Linked DNA regions of Bombyx mori. The protein of the gene in region 2 purifies or fractionates together with the protein of the main gene of each other region. This does not show direct contact. Links are inferred from orthologs where the notes say so. Each region holds a gene or a part of one and is shown on either strand. Other genes may lie near its edges.

Region 1 (5,857 bases), on a different chromosome or scaffold from region 2:
ATAGTAATTGTCATGGTTGAATGTGGAATATTTGTTATTACTTTATTTATATAAAAAACATTGCAAAGTGAACTATACGATAATAATCGTATAGTTCGCTTTGCAATAAAGTAAAATAAATATTAAAAATAAACTGACCTGCACCCCAGGTGTTTTGACAAACATCAAACCTGGTGGTGGAGCCATGTTTGATAAGGATGGTGGTGGAACTGTGATATTGGAGGTGATATTGGACTGTGTATGGCCACCACTCACTGGCACTACATTTATGTGTTCTTGCTGTTCTGGATATTGCATTCGTTGATCTTCCAATTTTAATTTTTCCAAAATGTCACCAAAATGTGATTTCTGATCAAATGTGAAGGCTGGGTGATGTAGTGCCATTGTATACAACAATAAAATTTCTTCGAGTAAATCTCCATATAAGCCCTTCAATAGGCCACTTTGTTCCAAACTGACCATGGCATTGTACAGAGTTGTAGCACACGCGAAATTACAAGATCGTAATAACGACACATATAAAGCCATTTTTCGTCGTGTTCTAGGGTCTGCATTTGCTCCTCCTATGTCCGCAGCCAGATCTGTAGGATTGTTAGCTCTCAGTTCGGCACCACGCAACTCCTGAAAGTCCCGCTTACCGAGCTCTTCTAGGTACGTGCCGATGAAGCGCAATTCGAATGGTAAACACATATTTAACAGTGTACACATTGCATCTATGCGTTTATAGCTTTCCAATTCTTTAAACCATGATACCACGTCCTCTTTGCAAACCATTTCCAGAACACATTGAAATTTTATGTGAAGAATCAACCGGTCTCCTGCAGCCGTAGCGCGTCCTTTTTCTATAATTTTTGGCACACGCAATCTCCACAATATTGTGATGGTTGTAATCCAAATATATTCAACTGTAACATTAGTAAAATATAATTTTATCAGTATTTTCCAAGTAGAGTATTGGTTAAGCAACTACGAGCAATGCTAGTAGTTTTGTCTTGTCTTTAATCTATGGAATAGAAAAGGCAAAGACAAAAGCATGCCGTTTAACGGATGTTTCCATTATTGAAATATCTACGTCAACCTCTAAGCTTTAGGGTGCATTTTATGTAAAATAATCACTTATTTTTTGGTTGCTGAAAAATAATCAGTATTGATATGTGAAAAAACCCTGAAATCGATTTGTTCTAAATTTATCGACTATATTTATGAAAATGAAAAGGTTTAATACTTTTTGTAGATTACTTTGAGTATAATTCAACATAGTTTTTTAATATAATATTTTATTTACATAATGGTTAATATGGTTATAGGTCAAATATATTCAAAAAAATATACTTTTATAATAGTTCATCAATTCGGTACAAATGAGGACCATATTAACTGATTGTATGATACAATACGATAATAATGATTATGTTCCATTGAAGAGGATAAGATTTTATAATAAGATTTTATAATAAACTATTTCAATAATTTTTAATAATATTAAGTGTGAGTACTTTCAAAATGTAAGTATAAAATTACTATTTCCCCTATTTTATGAATCAAAAGTTAACAAAAAGCTATCAACATATTTAATAGGTACATATATAATTCTTAATACGCTTATAGACGTGTTCAATAGACTAACTAACACACCTCCGAACTTGGTTCATACTTGTACTATATTTGACTGAATATCGAGTGTTATCAATGATTGAAAAAGCATTGGTTATGTAAGCGTTAACTTTCAATAATGGGGCGAAAACTTGTTCAGATGGTAGGGATGTTTGCATGTTAACTCCACACTGTTTTTGTTACTATTTAATCTATTACTATTTGATAAGTATTTAAAACACAATCAATTCAATTGTGGTTCAACTGTAACTGTCACAGTGTTTTGTATTTATTAAATAATGGTTTTCAGCTCGAACTCATGCGCATCCATTTTAATTTTTTTTACACTAAGTCTCCACCGGTTGCCACTTTTTGTAGCTGGTAAGCAACTAAAAAAATGCCAGAATAAGATATTGCCAGAATAATGCCAAAATAGATATATTCTAGTGACCTCGAGGGGTCATACTAGATTCACCGAACGAGTAGGTGAACTCACAGGGCTCTACCCTGGTGTCGTTGCTAACACTAGCCCTAGCAAAAGCAAGCTACGCAGACTCTACCACCGGATCGGAAATGCGACCCACTAAGAAGACCTAGCGAAAAACTTAGTGGGCCGTACTGTTGGTTAATTGACTCGCCGAATCCTTCGTGTTCAAGCAGCGAGTTCAACGAGAACGGTGACCGGTACATGTGGTACATAAAAGCACCGATAGCGGATCTGGAGGATCCGAAATGACGTGTTTTGGGCGATGTTGACTGTTTACCATGTTGGTAACGAACTATTCGTCGCACCATAATTATTCTTCGGGGCGTAAAGTAGAAGAAAAATAAATTGTAGAATTATTAAAATGTGTAATATTCCAAAAAATATTGTTTCTATTCTAGTTCTCTAAAAAGATACTTGAACGGTTCGATGTAATAGAACAGACGAGCTCATATCCACAATGAGGAAAACCATTTTGTATCCCATTTATTACAGTAAATAAAAACAAATCATAAAAAAAATTGAAAAGAAAAGAGGTCAGATGGTTGTACAGTAGCAATTGATGCATATTTTTAACCGTTTCTGCTGACCTTATTATTTCACATTCCAGCTGGCAACATTACCAACATTACGACAAAGTTACTCACTCAAGACTTGGCCTAAAGGTATCAGGCCATATCCTCCAAAAAAAAAAAGACAAAGTTACTCGGCATTTTTGATTATTGTGACAGATTGCATTTTACTAAAATTTGTAGATTGATTTCGTTCATTCTCATATTCACATTGTTTTGAAAAATATCAGTTATATATACAATGGCTCCAGTGGAAGATGTTGAAATGAAAAATGTGGAAAGTCCTGCAGCTGTTAGTGACGTTGAGACAGCGGATGTAAAGAAAGATGCTGATGTACTAGCTGTTCAGGATCTACGAGAACACATCAGACAAATCGATAAAGCTGTTACTTCGAAAGAACCTAGATTCGCTATGCGTGTACTTAGAGCACTGCCGAGCACTCGCAGGAAGTTAAACGGTAACGTTCTGCGAGCTATTATCAATCAGATTTATCCCGCTAGTGCTGAGAAAGAAACCATACTATCTTTTGTGGAAAATCCTCTCCCTGGTGCCGTAGAAATAGAAGCTCCCAGGTCACGAAGCGCCCCTAAGCAGCCAGTGCCCGAAGTGGATACATATTTGCATCTCCTTGTGCTGTTACGTTTGTTGGATACAAACAAACTTGAAGAAGCCACAGAATGCTCTCAGCAACTAATGACAAAAGTTACTACTCAAAATCGAAGAACCCTTGACTTGATTGCTGCAAAATGCTATTTTTATCACTCAAGAGTGTTTGAACTAACTAACAAGTTGGATGTGATCAGAGGTCTCTTACATGCCCGACTTCGTACATCAACATTGAGAAATGACTATGAAGGTCAAGCTGTTATTATCAACTGCCTGTTGAGAAATTACTTGCACTACTCTTTGTATGATCAAGCCGATAAATTAGTAAGTAAGTCAGTTTTTCCTGAAAATGCCAGCAACAATGAGTGGGCAAGATTTCTGTACTACCTTGGCAGAATAAAAGCAGCAAGGTTAGAATACAGTGATGCACACAAACATCTAGTGCAGGCTTTAAGAAAAGCTCCCCAAACAGCTGCTGTTGGATTCCGTCAAACGGTCCAAAAATTAGCAATTGTAGTGGAATTGCTATTAGGTGATATACCGGAGCGAGTGATTTTCCGTCAAGCTCCACTTCGTAAAGCATTAGCTCCATATTTCCAGCTCACCCAAGCTGTGCGTCTTGGAAACTTGCAAAGATTTGGTGAAGTATTGGAGAATTATGGGCCACAGTTCCGAAATGATCACACATTTACATTGATCCTTCGTCTTAGACAGAATGTTATTAAGACTGCTATTCGTTCAATTGGATTGTCCTATTCTCGCATATCACCAAAAGATATAGCTCGCAAATTAGGGCTTGACTCTGCTGAAGATGCAGAATTCATTGTTGCTAAGGCAATCAGAGATGGAGTGATTGAGGCAACATTAGACCCTGTAAAGGGCTACATGAGTAATAAAGAAAGCTCAGATATTTATTGTACTAGAGAGCCACAGTTAGCCTTTCATCAGCGGATTTCATTTTGCCTAGATTTACACAACCAAAGTGTTAAGGCAATGAGATATCCACCAAAATCATACGGAAAAGAATTGGAAAGTGCTGAGGAACGCCGTGAAAGAGAACAGCAAGATCTGGAACTTGCCAAAGAAATGGCAGAGGAAGATGATGATGGTTTCCCATGAACTATCTTATAAAATTTTATATTACAACATTTTGTGTATTAGATTTCAATTAACACTGTTTGGAATTGTAAAAATAATGAGTCAATAAAATTAAAGCTAAATATTTTTTTATTGTGTCCATTAAAACTCCTCTAAGGCTATTTTTTAGTTTAGCTTGAAATTTTTCAAATGACATACATTTTTTGACTTCTAATGAAGCTTGGCACTGTTACAAATCGTCTTGTACCACCGCCCTGCCTATTTCTGCCGTGAAGCAGTAATGCGTTTCGGTTTGAAGGGCGGGGCAGCCGTTGTAACTATACTGAGACCTTAAAACTGATATCTCAAGGTGGGTGGCGCATTTACTTCGTAGATGTCTATGGGCTCCAGTAACCACTTAACACCAGGTGAGCTCGTCCAACCATCTAAGCAATTAAAAAAAAAAGACTCGTTTGAAGAAAGAAATGTCATAACGCTGGGGAAACACCGTGAAGGAGAGTTCATTCCATAGTCGGATGTTCCGTGGTAAAAAAAGAAACGCACTGTCGATAAATGCAGCGGTTCCATATGGTATGGATGAACTCTACTCTGTGGTGGAAAAGGAGGCGGAGGATCATATCGAACAATTTCTGATAGATGGCCCGTGGTCTCGTTCGAGAGAAGGTAGTAGAGAGTTCAAATTAGAATATATATTTTTTTATTTGTGTACGATACCTAATTAAATGCGGTCATTTTTTTTTTTTTTTGTACCTCTGCTGATAGCATTGAGAGGCTATTTCAGCTTCTCCTTGACGTGTAGGTGAGCTCACGGGGCTCTAACCGGGAGTGTTGCTAACACTGGCAATAGCAAGAGCAGTGCTTTGCAGAATCTATGGGGCTAACGGCGGAGGTGCTAACGCGCCTATTAGGGAGTGGGCTGCTCGAATTGGTATTCGGAGGGCGCCCCTTTTGAAGAGCATCGCTGTGCTTTTCGTGGGGTTGATGTCGATGCGCCACTTCCAGAACCACTGTCCCATGGTGGTTACTGCGATCTGAAGTCGCCGATGCAATAGCGACTTCTTCCTACACGAGTAGTAGATAGCCGTGTCATCGGCGAAGAGCGCTAGATGGGTCTCCGAAGACCGGGCTATATCATTGATATACAAACTAAATAATAACGGGGAGAGCGCGGAGCCTTGTGGAACTCCGGCCGTCAGATGACAGGGGCGGAGCGAGTTCCCTCTACTCGATATTGAAACGAACGGTTCGACAAGTCTTGTATGATGAGCACGAATCTGTCTGGCACTCCCATGTTATACAGTTTGTAAATGAAACCGTTATGCCAGACTTTACCGAACGCCTTTGCGATATCGAAGAAGAGAGCTCCGGTCGGGACTGGTTTCCGCCTATTTAGCCCTATTAAGATGTGCTCCGTCAGGCGGTGTACTTGTTATATGCACGAGTATTTGGCGCGGAACCCAACCTGCTCGGCCATTAATATTTTCTTTTCGGTAATGAAGCCCC
Region 2 (4,547 bases):
GAAGGATGGTGGAAATTGGAAAAAAAATTCTTAATTAACAATCGTCTAGAATATTGAAAAATATGTTTTTATAAAAAATTCCAACGGGAATAAATTTTTTAAAGTGTTTAGATTATGCAATAATTTTTTAGATTTTTCAATTAACTTTAAGTACTTGAAAAAAATTTTTTTAAGTGACGTCCTCGCTTTCGAGGCCGTGCGCGCAACCTAACAATGGCGCGCGGCGGGTTATTTTCAGCGTTAAATTAAAATTATAAATAATGGAGCTACAGTTCCGGGAGTTGGAACTTTTTTTTACTAAATTTCCTCCTCTTTAAGGATCTTTTTTTCAAATTTCGAAAATATTTATAGTTTACGGACAATAAGCAATAAACGAAACGCTATTTTTTGAAGGTGTTTAATTGTTAATAACTTTTGGAATTTTTTATGTGCTAATTCAATTTTTTAGCACAATGGTCTAGACATTATTCCGAATCGAATGAGCTAAACCACATAATTTTAGCAGTAGTATGTCGAATTAACACCATTTTTAACTTGTCGACTAGACTATGAGGTGCAGCCCACCTGTTGTAGAGTATGGACATTATTACATGAACGTTGCCAGTTATCTTGAACCATGGTGACTCGATGCAGTGTCGCCAAATGTTTGAAAACTTTCCCCCTAAAGCAATTTCAAAAACCACTAAATTCAAAACAAAACTCCCCAAAGGACGGACCAAGTATTTATTCATTACAATATAAGTAAAGAAATAAATAAAAATAATAAATAATTAGTTAATAACAATAGTTATTTAGTATTTTTAAGTATTTTTCTATATAAAATTTTATCCCTAAAAATATCCCCAAAAAATTTCACCCCCTAAAAAAATCCCTGTATAGATTTTTCCCCCCTAAATTTGGGGGGAAAACCCCGGAGTTGGCATCACTGATTCGATGTTTCTGTTTCATTTTAAAACTTCATTTTATTGTACTTGAATTCTGTGCTAAAAGCTTTTTAAACATCATTAGCCCCACCTCTTGTCCGTTGACGGTACTAAATATACTACAAATTAATAGTCAACAGCTTTTGTTGCAAGTTTAAATTCATTGATAAACGAACACTCTTAGCACATATTAGATCTTACTTGTGGTATGTCGTATTATAGTCTCGCATCAGTAGGCTCAGTTCAAAGCCGCGAACCAGCGATTCGTATCTTTTGAAGGGTGAAACAGCTGTTATATTTACTTATTTAATTTAGAACACGATAGGTCTCAAAGTAAGCGACGGTGTTCACATTGTCACGATGTCTATGGACTCCGGTAGCCACTTAGCGCTCGTAGTTCGTTATACTCTGGGTGCTAGGAGACTGCTTCCGAAAACGAAGACAGACGATAGTACTATTGACACCTTTGGTAATGGGACGAAAATAAAATAGATCATGATTTAAAAAAATCATATTTTTTTGCAATTGCAATGTTTGAAGTGAAACTTTAGAAGAATCGTTGTGATTTCAAACTCAATGAAACGAAAAAATAAGTCCATAGAGACACAAACACATAAATGTATAGGATTCAGCCGGCGAGAGAATGAGATAGAACACATTAGACGTTCTCGGTCTCCTCTTTGTGCGATTCTTCGTAACATCCCCATTATCGTCTACTAAACATTGTCCATATGTATGCACCTGTGTAGTGGGATAGTCACAGTGTGACTTGCACACACTTTTTTATTGTGAACGCCGCCTCTACTTCTTTTATGGCGCCTGCAAATTTTATACGTACAAAGTTGTAAATTTTGCGTCGCGCCGGTGTGCGTGTTAAAGAAACGCCGCGCTCGAGCGTTCGTTGATCCGAGCATCAGCTGTTTTTAATTTTGTGTTTCACTGCTGGTTTTCTTTTCAAATAAAGTAATGTATTTTTTATGAAACTATCGTTTCATTTAGCTGTATTAACATAATGGAGGGTAAATAATGCTGATAAAACGTTTTAAAAATATGTTTTTTTTAAAAATCAGGTTCGACTTTTTTTCTGTCTCATCATCTATGTTAGGTGTCATTAGTACTATCGTTACCTCGATCGATACCTCGTTTTCGGAAGCGGTCTCTTAACACCCAGTGCATATAGCAATACAATAAAAATACCGTATTATATTTTGAAGGTTTTCGATTTCCACGAGCTGGAAAAGTCGACAGAATACGATGGCGGCTACGCGTCCGACTCTAAAATCGTACAGGACTTTTGGGGCATCGTGCACAGCTTGCCGCTGGAGGACAAGCGGAAGCTGCTTCAGTTCACGACCGGGTCGGACCGGGTGCCCGTGGGCGGGCTGTGCAACTTGAACTTTGTGATCGCGAGGAACGGCCCGGACTGCGACCGGCTTCCCACCGCGCACACTTGCTTCAATGTCCTACTGCTACCCGAGTACGACACTAGAGACAAACTACAGGACAGACTCTTGAAAGCCATCAACTACTCGAAGGGATTCGGTTTGCATTGAAGCTATGCTATACGACGACGACGACGCAACGCAACGCGGAACTAACTCAACAAAATTAGCATAATATTATAGTCGAGGAGTCGCCACGATGATGTTTCTGTATCATTGATGATTAAAGTTTGTTTTATTTAAGCGTAAAGTTTTTTTTTAATTACTCTATTTATTATGTCTGGCTGGGCAGCGTTCGGGAAGCTTCGTCAGGTCTTTTCGTCGCCCAAACCACAATGTCTGAAGACAAAGGTCTACAATCAGTGCGTCCTACCCGTGCTTACCTACGGAGCCGAAACGTGGACACTGACTGTGCGACTAGTCCACCAACTAAAAGTTACTCAGCGAGCCCATAGCTCGCGAGCTATGCTTGGTTTATCATTGCGAGACCGAATACGCAATGAGGTCATTCGGGCAAAAACCAAAGTGATCGATATAGCTTGCAGAGTTAGTAAGCTGAAGTGGCAGTGGGCTGGTCACATATGTCGCAGTACCGATAACCGTTGGGGTAGACGTGTTCTGGAGTGGAGACCGCTAACCGGTAAACGTAGTGTAGGACGCCCTCCTGCTAGACGGAGCGACGACCTACGCAAGGCAGCTGGCAGTAACTGGATGCGTAGAACCGAAGATCGGGTTCAGTGGCGAGCTTTGTACTGCCGCAGGTTAATGATGATGATGATGATATTTATTAATTACTAGCTGTACCCGCCCGCTTCGCTGGGCATTTAAAATTAACTTTATTATTTCTCACCCCCCACAAAAATTCTCATCATTAACGCCCCTGCAACTGGTGTAGGGAGTCCAACACTCATATAAATATTAGCCTATACATTAAGTACATGTATTTTCGACATGGATATAATAGCCGGCAAACTTCTTGAGCATTTGTTGACGTAGTGGGGGTAAGTTTGCGCATGGTACACTCACATGCAAAAACATTATTTACTCTGCGTCATAATGCAATTAAATTATTAAAATCAACATATGTATTTATTTATATATTTATTAGAACATCAACAAAAAATATAGGTTAATAATTATAATAATTTAATCTTGGGGTAAAATAGATATTCCTTCTATTAAGTCAAAACTAGAGCTGTTGCCAGGTCTTCGTTCAGTTGAAGCGAAGCTGGTATTTGTAATTTTTTTTCGTTATCATAATCTTGACCATTATCATCATCACTGTTTTCATCACCCGAGTCGCCATCATCGTGATAAGTCGACATAGGGCTCATCGGTGTAGTTTACGACTCGGTCGGTTCGATCTTCTTTTTTGTCTATAATTAATTATTTTTTGAAGATATTCGATTCGTAGTAATCGAATGTTACTTTTTTCAATTACCAGCTTCCGATTATTTTCTGTTTTTTTTTTTCCATCTGAAGCCTAGCTCTTTCATAATTCGTCGTAAACTTCATTCCGAGCCATTAAAATGTATATCTTCTTTAAAATTTTCGAAGCCTTTCTACGGTACGGAGTTTCGCTGCTTGTTATGTAGTTATTATGATTACATCTTTTTATTACAGATTGAACGAAACTATCCATTCCGGTAACTTTCTTCTTCCCTGATCTTTTCTTACCCGGAGTCCCAAGCACGATGAGCAAGCCAGAGCCTTTAGCTTCGTTAATAATGCACCTAACAGTACTCACTGATGTTTTTGTTGCTTCCGAAGTCTGTTTTACTTTTTCCATAATATCATTCTTCCCCTGTTTTATAATGAAGCAATATACGTCGTACACAATTTTTCTACCCTTTCTTTTGAATACTACACCAGTTTGTCGCGGCATAGTGTATTTTTTATAAAAAATCAACAAAAACTCAACAAATAGCAATGGCAACAAAGACAACAAGCAATTATAACAAAATATAACTTAACGATTAATAACGATAGACTTTCCACTGTACGCAAGCGTACTTTTGGGAGCAAGCGGAACGAGGGCGCGGTGCGGGACGCAAGGTTCGACTGATCTACCAATAACGCGCTCGATACGATTTCCCCTGCCGTCGCGCCTCACCCTCACCACCAAAGTGATCTAAAATTCGGTTCTGCGCAGTCAAGGTCATTTGCTCACGATGTTTGCCGG

What was found. Proteins that work in one complex are often made in the same cells at the same time.
Region 1: the proteins of ubiquitin-protein ligase E3A (region 2) and probable 26S proteasome non-ATPase regulatory subunit 3 purify together in Homo sapiens (affinity purification with mass spectrometry, with the first as the bait; 4 studies listed by BioGRID). This does not show direct contact. The link is inferred for Bombyx mori from reciprocal best matches to the Homo sapiens genes UBE3A and PSMD3.

Annotation. Positions count from the first base shown.
Region 1 is NC_085110.1:10,832,288-10,838,144, forward strand, and holds probable 26S proteasome non-ATPase regulatory subunit 3, read left to right. Parts: upstream 1-2,683; 5' UTR 2,684-2,890; coding exon 2,891-4,375; 3' UTR 4,376-4,476; downstream 4,477-5,857. Other genes in the region: protein enabled homolog, read right to left, coding at 139-774.
Region 2 is NC_085119.1:5,210,410-5,214,956, reverse strand, and holds the end of ubiquitin-protein ligase E3A, read left to right. Parts: intron 1-2,137; coding exon 2,138-2,476; 3' UTR 2,477-2,615; downstream 2,616-4,547. UniProt on the Homo sapiens protein: E3 ubiquitin-protein ligase which accepts ubiquitin from an E2 ubiquitin-conjugating enzyme in the form of a thioester and transfers it to its substrates.